Nothobranchius furzeri: one gene and its partners. The protein of the gene in region 3 purifies or fractionates together with the protein of the main gene of each other region. This does not show direct contact. Links are inferred from orthologs where the notes say so. Each region holds a gene or a part of one and is shown on either strand. Other genes may lie near its edges.

Region 1 (4,788 bases), on a different chromosome or scaffold from region 3:
TATAGACTTTTTTTAACGAGCTTAGGGCATGTCTAGCCTGTGTAATAATCCGGGGCTTGGGTGAATCACTTTTGAAAAGTTTTTAACTTACCCGGACACAGAGCTCTCTCCTTCCTCGCTGATGATTCCGACATGCTTGTGTTTAAGATGCTGCATCATCACCGTAGTATCCCCGGGCCATGCTGTCTGACCTACAAACGTTGCATGTCTTCGCCTGATTTAACTGAAAATGCTCCCAAACTTTAGAAGTTTTTACTTTTTTGGGGTATTGCTGCTTCCGCCATGTTCCTCTTACAAACACCTGCCGGCTCTCCACCGGTCTGCGCGCAACGGCGGGCAGGAGGGGAGGGGGCTTTTGGAAGAGTTGCGCAACACAACGAATCGATGACGCAATTCGTTGCCAACGCTTTTAGTAATCGATTTTCATCGAATTTATCGATTCGTTGTTGCAGCCCTGTGTGTGTGTGTGTGTGTGTGTGTGTGTGTGTGTGTGTGTGTGTTTTATATATGTTAATACAGATGTGAAGTTAATTCATGTAAATAAATGCCGTAATCGTGAAACCGTGATTATTTCTCAGACTACAATCAAGCACCAATATTTAGTTGCAACCCTAATTTGAAGATGATTACAATGTAAAGGTTAATACAATGTTAGATGAACTGCTGATGTATTTTAAATGACTAGAAGTGTTTAAATATGGCAGAAATGAGCCTTTTTAGCAGTGATAAAAATGTCTTTTAATTGTAATTTGCTCCAAATGTGGAGCCAGTTCTCTGTTTTCACCACCAACGCACCGGCTTCACTCCCAAAATGTTGTGCTTCAGGAGCAGAGTCTGCAACGCCAGAGCCACGAGCTGTAGATGTGTGTGTGTGTGTTTGTGTGTGTGTGCGCGCGCGTGTTCATGTGAGTTTTATGGATTCCAAACCAACTTTTAAAGTCTAAAACAACTTTGGTTGAAAAGCAGGAATGTTCACTTATTTTAGTTGTATGGCAGCTGTTGCTGTGGAAACGGAACAAAGCGTGTGTGTGTGTGTCTGTGTGTGTGTGGGTGTTGGGTGGGTCAGGAGCGTAGCTATGTGGGGCATTTCCTTGAGACCGCTTTTGTGTTGCCCCAAGTGCTTAAAGTCTCCGTCTACTTCTGAGTTCTTCTGATTCTGTCTTTGTCTTAATTTCCCGCTCTTTGTAAATCAGTTGGCCACCCCCTTGGCCTCATGTCTGTGTCTGAGAGGAACTTCAAAATGTTTATAAACCACTTACTGTATTATCGTGTAGCTGAATCTACGTATAATACGCCTGTTTTTTAACAAACCCTGCGCCGGAGATTCTGGTATTGGGGTGTAATTACCGAGATGAGAGCTTTTAAATGTCTTTACATCTCTACGTGAGTAGAGATGAAAGCTTGTGACATGGGAGGACAACTCGAAATGACTTTTTTTAAATGCAAGACTTCTGATGAAGATCAAAGAGTAAGTCATTAAAGATAATTAAGTGATAATTTAGCAGTAAAGTTCTCATCCTATTCATAATAATGCATCATCATTTGGGGGGATTTATGCTATAGCTTAGGCTCATTACTAGAGGATAATTCCTTCATGTTCGGATACGTTGAGGTTGTCTTTTTGAACACAGAAATGATTCTGGATTTTTGTCTCATTTTCCAGTCTCTGCCACAGCCTTCTATAAAGCCCAGCCTGTGATCCAGTTCATGTGTGAAGTCCTGGATATCCACAACATCGACGAGCAGCCGCGGCCTCTCACAGACTCTCACCGGGTCAAATTCACCAAAGAAATCAAAGGTGAAGCAGAAGGTGTAGCGTCTGCCTGCTCCTGGGCTCTACCTCCGGTTTAAGCGTGTGTGTGTGTGCGTGCGTGTGTGTGTGTGGGGGGGGGGCATTTTGGGTTGGATTAGCCTGAGCACATGGCAACAGCAATTCAAGAAGATATGTGTTCCTTCCAACACGTTTCATGCTGTTTCCCAGGTTTAAAGGTGGAGGTGACACACTGTGGAACAATGAGGAGGAAATATCGAGTTTGCAACGTGACCCGGCGGCCTGCCAGCCATCAAACGTGAGTCAGCCCTCTTGGCGTGCGAGGGAACAGACTTGGGGCTGTGCGTGTAATTTAGGGGCACACATGTAATCCCCATCACCACTAAAGATAATTGCCTACTCATCTAACAGTTATGCAGCCAATGTTAGTCATCTGTTACTGGAATGTTCTGCTGCTGCTGGTGTCTTTATTCATTCACGTATAATATAGTCAACATTAAAGGGGCATTATGGAAGTTTGACAGCCAAAACATGTATAGAAATAATAAATTTCTTCTTCATACATTCTCCTGCAGTGCCCTGGTCCTGTAGAATGAGCCCTGGCATTTTTACTGTGATTGCCTGTTTTTCTGTAAAATCACAGAAAAAGAGAGATGCTCGGGTCGAGCAGCTCTCTTTTTCTGTAAAATCACAGAAAAAGAGAGATGCTCGGGTCGAGCAGGCTGCTTCATGCTCGTTCACGCTCAGGCATAGCCCGTAGCATTTGCTATCAGTAGCTTTAGCAGCAGAGAGAGAGGTAGTGCCAACTCAGCGACTTTGTCGCTGTTCCTAACGCCTAGTGATGAACCTAGCTACATTTCTGAGGACCCTTAGCTACTTTCTGTAGAACTTTCTTCTAGATATTTCCTGCAAATTAGCAACAAAATAGCCATTTTCGCTTTGAACCGTTCTTTGGTTTGACGTTGTTTCAGGTGTTATCAAGGATATAGAAGTTACAGATACTATGAATGTTACTGGTGTGTAGCTCACCTTGTAAGATGTCTGACTCTCATGCAGAAGACCTGGGTTCGATTCTGGGTGTGAACATAGTTCATTTAGAGTTTCTTTTTTACATTAATGGTTTTTTTTTTTTTTACAATAAGATGCCCAAATTTTTATTTGATACTTGCCGAACGGCATTGAATTCACAGATAAAAAAGACGTGGGTTCAACTTTCATTTTGGAGCAATTTTTCAAGCAAGGGAAGGGAATGATCTGAGCATGCAGGAGGACTGACCCATCTTAAACCTTAGTCGGCTGTGCTGAAGAGAAAGGTACAGAACCAAATTATTTCATTAGCTGCTCATTCTCCTGTCCTCTGGGACACACACACACACACACACACACACACACACACACACACACACACACACACACACACACACACACACACACAAGGTACTGTTTCAGCTGTTATTTTCGTTGAGTGTGCATGTTCAGCATGCGCGCCTCGTGCACGAGCCTACTACTGAAGCTGCCGTTACGCTTTTGGCCTGAGGGGGCGATCGCGAGCATAAAAATTCAAAAGTCCGAAAAGTCCCTTTAACAACATAAAAATTATCATTACTCGGCCCGTTCTACAGATAGTGACCTAAAATGTGGCGTCCTATTAGATAAAGGTAATCTCAAACAATAAATTGGGAGATCAGTCATGGTTTTATTTAAAAGAACTCTTAAACGGCCAAAGTCTTTTAACATAAGATGCTTTAAAGCTCTGATCTGAAATGAGGGACATGCTATGAGCGTTCTTTAAAGGAGTTCTGCGTTGTTTGTCAAGTCCAGCTTAGAATTTATTTTTATATTTATTCATTATTTTCTCATTTCAGGTTCCCTCTACAGCTGGAGAATGGCCAGACTGTAGAACGTACAGTAGCCCAGTATTTCAGGGAGAAGTACACCCTGCAGCTCAAGTACCCACATTTGCCCTGTCTACAGGTGGGCCAGGAGCAGAAACACACCTACCTGCCTCTGGAGGTGAGAGAAAACGAGCTTTGATGTCATCTGACATTAACCTTTAAACAAAGTCAGTTTCACTGTAATGAAGATGGGATTGTTTCTGTGTGACCTGTTGCTAAGTAATAAAATAAAATCCATTTTTTAATTTTATTTATTTATTGTTTGTTTTTTTGCAGGTTTGTAACATCGTAGCTGGTCAACGGTGCATTAAGAAGCTGACAGATAATCAGACCTCCACTATGATTAAAGCCACAGCTCGCTCTGCACCCGACCGGCAGGAGGAGATCAGCAGGCTGGTGAGTTTTCAGCTGCATTGTTTTTCAACACAATAGAAGCATTTTTTTAAATATAAAAACTAGAAAGTTCATAAAAAAAAAGCAAAATCTACAGAAAGATGAGCGCTAAAACAGAAGAGCATAAATGCAAAGATAAAGCTGAATAAAATGAGTAAAAGCCTGAAATTTTATGGGGCAAATTTCATTACAAACAATTTTTAACTGGTTTTTAAAAGAATCAACATAATTAGGGCAATGCAAAGTTGAGAATATAATATTTGAAGGTAGTAGCATTTATTTTCTTATATAATCACCTAATGTGTCTCTAATTTTCTGTTATTACCAGAGGCATGTCTGCGTGTGTTTACATTGCATTTGGTAATGACTTTTCAGATCTGCACAAAGACCGAAAAATAAACCATAATGAAAATATCAGACCAAATGACTTTAAATAATAATAATTGTGGTCCTCTGGCCTCAGTTAGCATTTAGCTTATTAAACCGCATCCCTCTAGCTGCTTTCTAAAACAGAAAATGATTGGAGCACACTACAGCACATGTAGCAGACTGTTTTCATGCACCGCTGGCTGGGAACTGACAGCACCAACCAATAAGCTTGGATTCTCTGAACTCAATAAAAAAAATCTTTATTACATTCCCACATCATGTGAGAGGCTGAATTGGGTCACTTTCCTTATCTTTTCCTTAACAAATCTAAAGTGATAAAAATCAACCGCCTATACCGGG
Region 2 (4,788 bases), on a different chromosome or scaffold from region 3:
TCTTTAACAACCTGTCTCAGTCCAACATGACACAGAAGGTAAGGGAAAACATTATTGTATTAGACGAGTTTAAACACCAAAACCCTAAATAACCATTGATGTTTTCAAAGGTCGAGGAGCTGAAGGAGACTGTGAAAGAAGAGTTCATGCCATGGGTGTCTCAGTACCTGGTGATGAAGCGCGTCAGCATTGAGCCCAACTTCCACAGCCTCTACTCCAACTTTCTGGACACTTTGAAGAACCCAGAGTTTGTCAAGATGGTTCTCAATGAAACTTACAGAAACATTAAGGTAATGAACGAGAAACAAACTTTTAAGGCATCCTTTTATCTCATTTTGGTTTGTACTTTGTTTTTTTTTACTGTTTTAACAGACAGTTCTGTGAAAATGATGATGGTATGTATGTATAGGGCATCCAGGTATGAGCAGACATTTATAACGTGTGTCCCTGACAGGTGCTTCTGACGTCAGACAAGGCAGCTGCTAACTTCTCTGATCGCTCGTTGCTGAAGAACCTGGGTCACTGGTTGGGCATGATCACGCTGGCCAAAAACAAGCCGATCCTTTATACAGTAAGAATAGGCTTTAAGCTTGTTGGTCATCATGTAAAATGGTGTGTGTGTGTTTTTTGGGGGGGTCTATAATTATACTAAACACGTACTTCTCAGGATCTGGAGCTCAAATCCCTGCTCCTGGAGGCCTACGTGAAAGGCCAGCAGGAGCTGCTGTATGTTGTTCCGTTTGTGGCCAAAGTCTTGGAGTCCAGTCTACGTAGCATGGTGAGAAACCGACACCGGGTCCTGCTTGTAGGCTGAACACAGATGATTCATTCATTCCTACTAAAGACCACTGCAAATGTATTGATTTAACGAGTGTCCCGCACCTTTAACCTCCTGTTTGTGCTTCTGTGACGCTGCAGGTTTTCAGACCTCAGAATCCATGGACCATGGCCATCATGAATGTTCTAGCTGAGCTTCATCAGGAACACGACCTCAAGGTAACAGATTACCTTCTTTCACTTTCATGAGAAATCAAACTGATAAAGTTTTCAACTTCTGGAAGTTAATAAAAACCAAGAACTGAGCAAATAGAAGCCAGTTATTTTTTTCTTTTTTTTTCTTTTTGCTGCATTAAGAACTGAACATTTTTATTTTTGTCCAAATTTTATCCAGAATAAAGAAGCATCTGAAGTATTTGTGACATGTTCTGTTTTTTTTTCACTGTAGTTGAATTTAAAGTTTGAGATTGAAGTTCTGTGTAAGAACTTGTCTCTGGACATCAATGAGCTGAAGCCAGGAAACCTGCTGAAGGACAAAGACAAGCTGAAGAACCTGGAGGAGCAGCTGTCGGCGCCAAAGAAAGAAGCCAAGCCTCCGGAGGAGATGTTACCCGTCTCTACCGCAGGTGATTTCTCCATTTATTCACATGTTGTTTCTGCACGGAGCCATGCTTTAGAGCTCATCTTATATCTGCAGCAGCTCTTCCTCTGAAAACAAAGTTAACCTGTTCAGCTTTCATCTTTTATGTTGGAAATTGTTTCATGTCTACTTTTTACACCACAGTACATTTTTTGTCTGAATTGAATGCTTTTCTTTGTGATTTTAATGAAACGAGTGTTTTGTGATCAACAGGAGACTTTGTTCCATTTTCAGCTCCTCCCTCCACCCCGGCTGCTACCACCACCACCTGCACAACCACAGGCCCCCCCACACCACAGTTCAGTTATCATGACATCAACGTGTATTCCCTGGCAGGCCTGGGGCCGCACATCAATATAAACATCAACGTAAGATTAAAAGCCTGTAAACGCCGTTGGTTTCAGCAGATGAGCTCATAATTCCATAGATAATAAAGCAAAACAGATATTGTGTGTTTGGGAGAACTGATCAGAACAATTAAGTGACAAGATGCCGCATGAACAGTAGGATACATCTCTGTTGGTGTTTGTGTGGTCTTTACTTTTTAAGACTCAGATTAAATCTGACCATTTCTGTCCTGCTCCCTTCCCGGCAGATCCCTCTGCTGCAGGCTCATCCTCAGCTCAAACAGTGCGTGCGGCAGTCAGTGGAGCGGGCGGTCCAGGAGCTGGTGCACCCTGTGGTGGATCGTTCCATCAAGATTGCCATGACAACTTGTGAGCAGATCATTAGAAAGGACTTTGCCCTGGACTCAGAGGAGTCCCGCATGCGTGTGGCTGCTCATCACATGATGAGAAACCTGACAGCTGGCATGGCCATGATCACCTGCCGGGAGCCCCTGCTCATGAGTATCGCCACCAATCTGAAGAACAGCTTTGCGGCTGCGCTGAGAGTGAGTTCAGCTCTTCTTACCACGTGTTTGTTAGTGGGTGAGCTTTCTTTCCGTGACCAGGCTGATGACTTTTATCTTTGACCTTCTCTCAGGCACCAACCCCGCAGCAGAGAGAGATGATGGAAGAGGCTGCTGCCAGGATCGCACAAGACAACTGTGAATTAGCTTGTTGCTTCATTCAGAAAACCGCCGTGGAGAAAGCTGGCCCTGAAATGGACAAGAGACTAGCCACGGTGAGCTGATACCCTGAGTGTGTGTGGACGTACATGTGGTTTATCAAGCTCTTTATTGTGCAAAACGTTTGTTTTAATAATAAATGTAAGTTTTTAAAGTCAGAGTGTGTTCTCTGCTCCAGGAGTTTGAACTGAGGAAGCATGCTCGCCAAGAGGGCCGTCGTTACTGTGATCCTGTTGTTCTGACTTATCAGGCTGAACGAATGCCTGAACAGATCAGGCTGAAGGTAAAACACGCGTGTGCCACATCAGCAGCGCCTCTTCTGTTTGTTTCTGTTCATATCTGACTAAAGACTCAGTCAGCTGTCAAGGTGTTCTTTACCTGTTGAGTAACCGCTTACTGTTGCAGGTGGGAGGAGTGGATCCCAAGCAGCTGGCGGTTTATGAGGAATTTGCCAGGAATATTCCAGGTTTCCTACCAAGCAATGATCTCTCACAACCCACAGGCTTCTTGGCTCAGCCCATGAAGGTGAATTTATCTCCTGTGACCATCCCAAAGCAAAACGTAAGAACTAAAATGATGAAAGAAAGGAACGCTTTAAAGGTGTCTGCATGCTTAATAAGATTGTTTCTGTCCTTTGCACCAGACTTGACCGTAACCTCGTAGAGTAGCTACATTGATACTAAAACATTCAACAATTAAATGAATATTTTGTGACTGAATTCTTGATTTTAACCCATAGTTTTGGTTGCGTGTTTGTTTTGCAGAACCAAGTGTGGGCCACAGACGACGTGGCTCAGATCTATGATAAATGCATCACCGACTTGGAGCAGCATCTTCATGCTATCCCTCCAGCACTGGCCATGAATCCTCTGACACAGGGTCTGCGTAGTTTACTGGAAGCTGTGGCTTTAGCCAGGAACTCCAGGGATGGGATCGCTGCTCTTGGCCTCCTGCAGAAGGTAGGACACTCAGACCGAAAATTACAGGGAAGCTTCTGGATGGAGGATGAACTCTTAAGCTGATTGTCAAGTTTCTCTGAATGTTTCAGGCTGTGGAAGGCCTCCTGGACGCTACGACAGGGGCTGATGCTGACTTGCTGCTTCACTACAGGGAGTGCCACCTGCTGGTGCTGAAGTCCCTGCAGGATGGGCGTGCATACGGACCACAGTGGTGCAATAAGCAGATCACCAGGTTAATATACTCGCATGTTGTATGGAGATGTTACTAACCCGATAACCCTCCACTCTTAGAGCTCCACATGGATTTGTTAAATCTAAATGACTTACTGAGTTTAAGTTTGTTTCTGTGTGGGAAGGTGTCTGATTGAATGTCGGGATGAGTACAAGTACAACGTGGAGGCAGTGGAGCTTCTGATCAGGAACCACCTAGTAAACATGCAGCAGTACGACGTGCACCTGGCACAGGTAGGCTGTGTGTGTCTCTCTCTCTCTCTCTCTCTCGCTCTCGCTCTCTCTCTCTCTCACATACACACACACATATGGTGCTTTTGTGTGTTTCTTCCCAGTCGATGGAGAACGGGTTGCACTACATGGCCGTGGCTTTTGCCATGCAGCTTGTGAAGCAGCTGCTGGTGGATGAGCGCAGCGTGAGCCATGTGACCGAAGCTGACCTCTTCCAAACTATTGAGACCTTAATGAGGACCTGTGCACACTCCAGAGCCAACGCACCTGAAGGGTAAACATCTGGTTTGGTTGCTCTGTGAACATTTCTGCTCTCACCCATTTTTAGCTGTTGGAAGTGAATGTTTTTGAAAGTGAAACCAACCAGATGATGGTTGTGGACGTTCCCGGTGTGAACGTCTCCTCAGAGTCGTCACTTATGAATGAGGAAAAAGACCTGATAAGAATCCAGGGTTTAACCCACACACTATCCTGTCTGGCATTTAAGATTAGTTAGTTTTTAAAACACCTTTAGGGTTTCTCTCATTGTTCCTTTTTATGTCCTTGTTACAAACCACAGTATGATGTGCTGATGTCTGGTGCTTTCACCGTGAGCTGTTTGATCGCATTTCAATAGATTCGGACTCTTGAATCGATCGTCCTGCTTCCTGGTGAAGGTACACGTTACCCCATTAACCCCCGCTGCTCCCCGTTCACAGGCTTCCCCAGCTGATGGATGTGGTTCGCTCCAACTATGAAGCCATGATAGATCGTGCTCATGGTGGCCCCAACTTCATGATGCACTCTGGGATTTCACAGGCTTCAGAATACGATGATCCACCGGGCCTGAGGGAGAAGGCAGAGTACCTTCTGAGAGAATGGGTCAACCTGTATCACTCAGC
Region 3 (5,249 bases):
GAGTCACACCAAGGTCACGTGCTTTCTGCTCCTCAGGTAACAACATTTACCGAAATGTCTTTTTTAAACTAGCGACAATCACGGTGATACAGTGTAAAACTATCCTGAAATGTATGTATGTACTGCCAGGAAACTACACACTGCCACTTTAAAAACGACTCTTCAATTCCAATTTTGAACATGACACTTCTGCTAAGATACGCTCTGAGGTGGAAACTGCCCAACAACTTGGAACATGGAGTTATCAACAAGGATGCAACTTCAGACACAACGCCATCTTGTTTTAACTTAAAAAAGTGACCTTAGGCTGAAAATGTGATTGTTATCGAGTATTTAATGTGTTGTATTGTTGATTAATGAGAAATTGTGCAGCATAGAAAAACAATGCGTGAAACGACGCATACATTTCTAGATTTTGATGTATATTTTTCAAATATACTAAAATGTTGGTAAAAGAAGATTGATTGCAAAATAATACATATTTTTATTAATATTAGACATGTGTGACATCGCCAACCACAATAGCTGACAACTCAATGGAAAAATCATCAACTTACAATGTGATTTTTTTAAACATAAAATAAATCAAATGCCCATTATAATGGGCTTATGTAAAGTCTAAGTATTTGTGACCTCTGAACTGTGAAGTCCGACTGAGCCAAAGAGCTCCAAAGGGTGCTGAATTTTCTCGTTTCTATATCTTGTTGCCTTGCAGGTTTTTGTGTGTTTGGACCATGTTGTTTGGTGTACTGCCATTAAAAGTCATAGCACACTGTTCCCAATGAAACCGCATGAATGGACGTATGATTGCCATGCTTTCGTTTGGACACTCTGTTTAGAGCTGCGTGGCACAAAAGCAAACTTAAATTGTGAAAGAAAAAGAAAACCCAAAGCACTATTTGGTTCATCTTTCTAAAATGCTAACACACACACACACACACACACACACACACACACACACACACACACACACACACACACACACACACACACACACACACACACACATTCTCCCATTTAACACACACACACACACACACACACTCACACACACACACACACACACACACACACACACACACACACACACACATTCTCCCATTTATTTTGAGAAGTAACATCTCCATCCTGGTGAAATATACCACCCGTATCCGAATTGTCTTCAGCACAGCCCCCTGTACCCCCTGTACCCTGCTGCACAGATGCCATGATAGAGAGACACACACTGACGCTGATGTTGCTACTACCCCGGTTTGCAGCAGAATACAAATTGTGCCCTCTGTTGGTCTTCTAACAGAGTACACCAGCAGTCAACATGTGCAGCTTCTCCTCATCGGACAGTTTACCTCTCACACGTAGATTGTTGACTTTTACAGCCGCTTATTCTCGTGTTTGGTAAAAAAAAAAAAAAAAAAAAAAAAAAAAAAAAAAAAGGGTTATTAAAGCTGATGCAAGCTGTGAGAGCATCCGCAGCAGCAAGCCAGTGGCAGAAGGGCTGCAGTTGTCATGGAAACGCCGGAGGAGGAGGAGGAACATTTTGGAGGGGGACCCGTTTGTTTTGTTATTGAAGGTCACGTGGCAATCCGAAGCTCCGCCCCTTCCCCCGTTACCACGGATTCAACCGTCTCGAGCTCCTGCTCCGGTCAGTTACTACAAAATGGCTGCAGAGGCTCCTCCGCCTGCGAGAACCGACTAAACGCTTCATGGTAGGATTTATTTGTCACTCTGGGCGGTAAAACGAGGAGAAAATAGCACGAATTTAGCCTTTAGCTTTGCGCTCAATGTGCATATCTGTGTCGGCTGGTAGGTCGTGAATATTTTCAGTTCACCCCTCTCTTGACACCAGTGTTGTTTTGGCCTCGGGAGCTCGGCTTGAACGAAGTTTTCGGTGTTTTATGGCTTCCGCGAATAGCTGTCGAGTTTAGGAGGCTGTTTGTGTTTGTAGGCGGCCGGAGCAGCGCTGCTGCTGCTGGGACTCAAGGGCGCCTGGAGTCGCTGCTGCTGGTCTGTTTCTTGTTGGCAGATTGGTGGGACGCTGCCGCTGCTCCACCGCTGCTGCTGGAGACTTGACATGGAGATGATTATTGCCGCTCATGTGCACACATTGTGCTGGAGCAGGATGCACCACTACCTGGCTGTTTAAATCCCCCCCAGTCTCTGCCACTGGGAGCGTTTGCCTCACGCTTTTCTGCGCTCTAGTCAACAGCACCTGTCACGTTTGAAACTCCGTGCACGTGCTTTAAATCTCATATTTCTGCTCGGATTTATTCCTGGAGAAGACAGTGTTGAAAATCTGGCTTGTCAGTTCTTTGTTTGCAGCATGTCAGCATTTAGAGACCTGTGTAATCTCTGAGATCCGATGCCTCCATCCTCTTCATCGCAGCATGTTCTGCAGTTTGGCATCAGGCTCACGCGCGCCCGTGCGTTTGTGTGTGTGCGCGTGTGCAGACTGGGAATGCCTGCGCCCTGATGCATGCAGAGGGGCAGACTGACGTAAGCTTTGATTCCTGCCTGGGTCACTAATGTGTTGGTGTTCCTAATTTTGTCCTGGAGGTGGTGGCGGTTATGAGAAGGGGTCATCAAGGTTTTTTTCATGGCCGAGTCGGGTCAAGGGGGGAGCCCTAGTGAGCACCCACGGCCCTGAAAGAGGCAGTTTCTATTCAGAGAGAGGCACCAAAGGGGGTTGATAACAAAACCAGACCGCTAAATGCTGTGATTATAATACAGCTTAGGTCATAGCTTCACTTTCAGCTCAGAACCCTCCATGACCTTTTGCTTAAAGTTGGACTGAAAGGCTAGAGGGCGTTACTTTTGTAAATTCTTTAAACTCAAATGAAATAAAAGTTCACTTAAAGGAGCAATGTGTACGAATTATACTGTACAATAATCACAAAACAGTATAATCTCTCAATCGCGCTGGAAGGAAGGCTATACTGAAACAGATTTATTTCTCAGTGGGCTCGGGGGGTATTCAGGTTTTCTCCTTTTGAATAAAATGAAGCGGGATGTAGTTAATGTTTACAATCAGTGAGTTTGTGAGGTTTTATTTGTCTCCGGCAAGCTAAAGCTCCAGTTCTGGCATTTGTAATTTGACACCGGCCGACAAAAAGCTCCAGAGTTGTTTAAAGAACCGAAGCCGGTAAACAGGAGTGACCCAGAAGTTATTTCTTATACCCCTAAGAAGCCACGGCATCTTTTTGTTTTTCTCTATCTGTGAAGCAGGCTAGAGGCTAACATTAAGCTACCAAGGCTAACAGTGAATTAGGGCAAATAGTCAGTTCTAAAAATATCTCAAACTTCTTTTTTAATCACCAAAACCTCAATATTACAGTGAAATGTATGAGTGAAGTGAATAATGAGTCAGTCGTTACTTCCTTTAATGTTCGTAACTTGTTTTCGTACAAGTTTAAATTGTACATTTTGTCTTGTATATTTGTGTGATGTTTGCTGCAGGACTCCCTTGAAAAAGAAGTTTTAAATCTCAGTGGGACTTTTTTCCTGGGTAAATAAAGGTTAAATAAAAAAATAAAAATAAAAACAAGATGCCAAATGACCACAATTCCTCTAATGCTGGAGAAACATTACTTTAATAAGTGTAGTAAATGCTCCATGCTATGGCTGGGATGATAATCAATAAATCAATTAATCATACGATAGATGAAAATTAACTGAATAATTTTCCCAGCCTCAATATATCGAGGTAAAAAAAATGTACAACTCTATTATTATTATTATTATTTTTAAAATCATTATTATTATTTATTATCATTGAAGTGCAGTTTGGTTGTTTTGGAGAGACGGGGTCTATTTTATTGTTTTTTGCACAATATTTTCTAACAGAGTGAGAGTCCTTTTTAATTTATTTATTTATTGTTTGTTTGTTTTTATTTATTTGTTTAGAGGTTCTGGACATTCCAATGTTAAATAAAAGTTTAATTGTTGCATTTTAAAGCGTGTACTTGCATTATTATGATATTAATATTACGTAAGTGGTTATTTTGGTCTTGATAATGTCGACAATAATATCGTTTATCATCAATAATTTATTGGACAATATATCGTCCAGCAAAATGTATCGTCCCAAGTCTACTCCGTACCGTAAAATTACTAGAGTGCCAACATCAGATATAACAATGTATTTATCTACTTGTTAACTTACTGTGTATGACTCGTCATTGTTAACGTCGTTTGAATATAACAGCGTCACTAACAGCATTCTTTTTTGGGTAACGGAATAATCTAATCAATTACTTTTCCCACTGTTGCAACGCCGTTACCGTTACTGGGGATGGAAGGTTGTGCGTTACTATGTGCTTGTCGAACGTTGAGCAACAGTGTGAGGCTTTCTGACCGCCACACTTCAGCTGCAGCCAGGGAGAGAGAGGTGTCGGTAACGCACTAACAAACACGATGATGATTGGCCGGGTGGGCGGAGACCCTCAGTGTTCTCACTGTCTCAGTCGCTGCCTGCTGTAGACCCAACAGAGCAGTGATGGGAATAATGCCATTTAAAATAACCACGTTAATAAAAAAAAATATTCTTTCTGTAACGAACAAACTAATTAATTACCGTCTTCTTTTAACAAAACGATAGTTTCTGTTACTGATAAGGAAATGCGTGCGTTAAGCAGCGCAGTGTGTTGAAGCTGTCATCAGCTAATGAGGAGCTAAAGAGGCAGATGTTTTCATCCAAGCGCATCTCGGCCCGTGAAGAACGAGGAAGACGTGATGAATTCGTTGCTGCAGCAGCGGATCTGCTGGTCTGCAGCCGTGCCCTTCTTAGAGTGACGTCCCGAAGGTCCGCTCACCTGTTCACCGCTCGGACGTCCTGATCTTCTACCTTCCTAGATCATCCAGCTGTAACCTGTTTCTGATCATGTCTTTAGTCCCGCTGTAACACTGATGCATCAGTCTCACACGTCATGGAGCTCAGGTGTTATCAGAACTACCTGTGTGTGTTTACCACCCAGCTTCAGCTCTTCTGTGGTTGGGTCTGACCCAAGTTAGTAAATGTAAGTCCTCCATCAGGCTTGTGCCTCTTCTAGTATCATTTTAAAGGATTTTATTTATTTATTTAACCGTTACTAGATTACCAGCAACAGAAATGCTACTAAAAACACACAATTATGTGAAGCTGGAAAAATTAGAATACTGTGCAAAATTACATTCATTTCTGTAATTTAACTAGACTGAGAGACCATTTAAAGGCTCGGGAACCTTTACAGGTGTTTCTATTAGCAATTATAAAT

Evidence for each region. The genes of interacting proteins can lie anywhere in the genome.
Region 1: the proteins of tnrc6c1 (region 3) and ago3a purify together in Homo sapiens (affinity purification with mass spectrometry; 3 studies listed by BioGRID and IntAct, with this or other methods). This does not show direct contact. The link is inferred for Nothobranchius furzeri from reciprocal best matches to the Homo sapiens genes TNRC6C and AGO3.
Region 2: the proteins of tnrc6c1 (region 3) and cnot1 purify together in Homo sapiens (co-immunoprecipitation; 4 studies listed by BioGRID and IntAct, with this or other methods). This does not show direct contact. The link is inferred for Nothobranchius furzeri from reciprocal best matches to the Homo sapiens genes TNRC6C and CNOT1.

What each region holds. Positions count from the first base shown.
Region 1 is NC_091745.1:69,139,832-69,144,619, reverse strand, and holds part of ago3a (protein argonaute-3), read left to right. Parts: intron 1-1,663; coding exon 1,664-1,798; intron 1,799-1,981; coding exon 1,982-2,069; intron 2,070-3,636; coding exon 3,637-3,784; intron 3,785-3,942; coding exon 3,943-4,062; intron 4,063-4,788.
Region 2 is NC_091744.1:81,587,402-81,592,189, forward strand, and holds part of cnot1 (CCR4-NOT transcription complex subunit 1), read left to right. Parts: coding exon 1-38; intron 39-110; coding exon 111-290; intron 291-454; coding exon 455-571; intron 572-667; coding exon 668-778; intron 779-918; coding exon 919-996; intron 997-1,225; coding exon 1,226-1,403; intron 1,404-1,630; coding exon 1,631-1,785; intron 1,786-2,012; coding exon 2,013-2,309; intron 2,310-2,401; coding exon 2,402-2,542; intron 2,543-2,664; coding exon 2,665-2,769; intron 2,770-2,891; coding exon 2,892-3,047; intron 3,048-3,250; coding exon 3,251-3,445; intron 3,446-3,534; coding exon 3,535-3,677; intron 3,678-3,801; coding exon 3,802-3,910; intron 3,911-4,011; coding exon 4,012-4,181; intron 4,182-4,605; coding exon 4,606-4,788.
Region 3 is NC_091752.1:54,019,407-54,024,655, reverse strand, and holds the start of tnrc6c1 (trinucleotide repeat-containing gene 6C protein), read left to right. Parts: upstream 1-1,587; 5' UTR 1,588-1,706; intron 1,707-5,249. UniProt on the Homo sapiens protein: Plays a role in RNA-mediated gene silencing by micro-RNAs (miRNAs). Required for miRNA-dependent translational repression of complementary mRNAs by argonaute family proteins.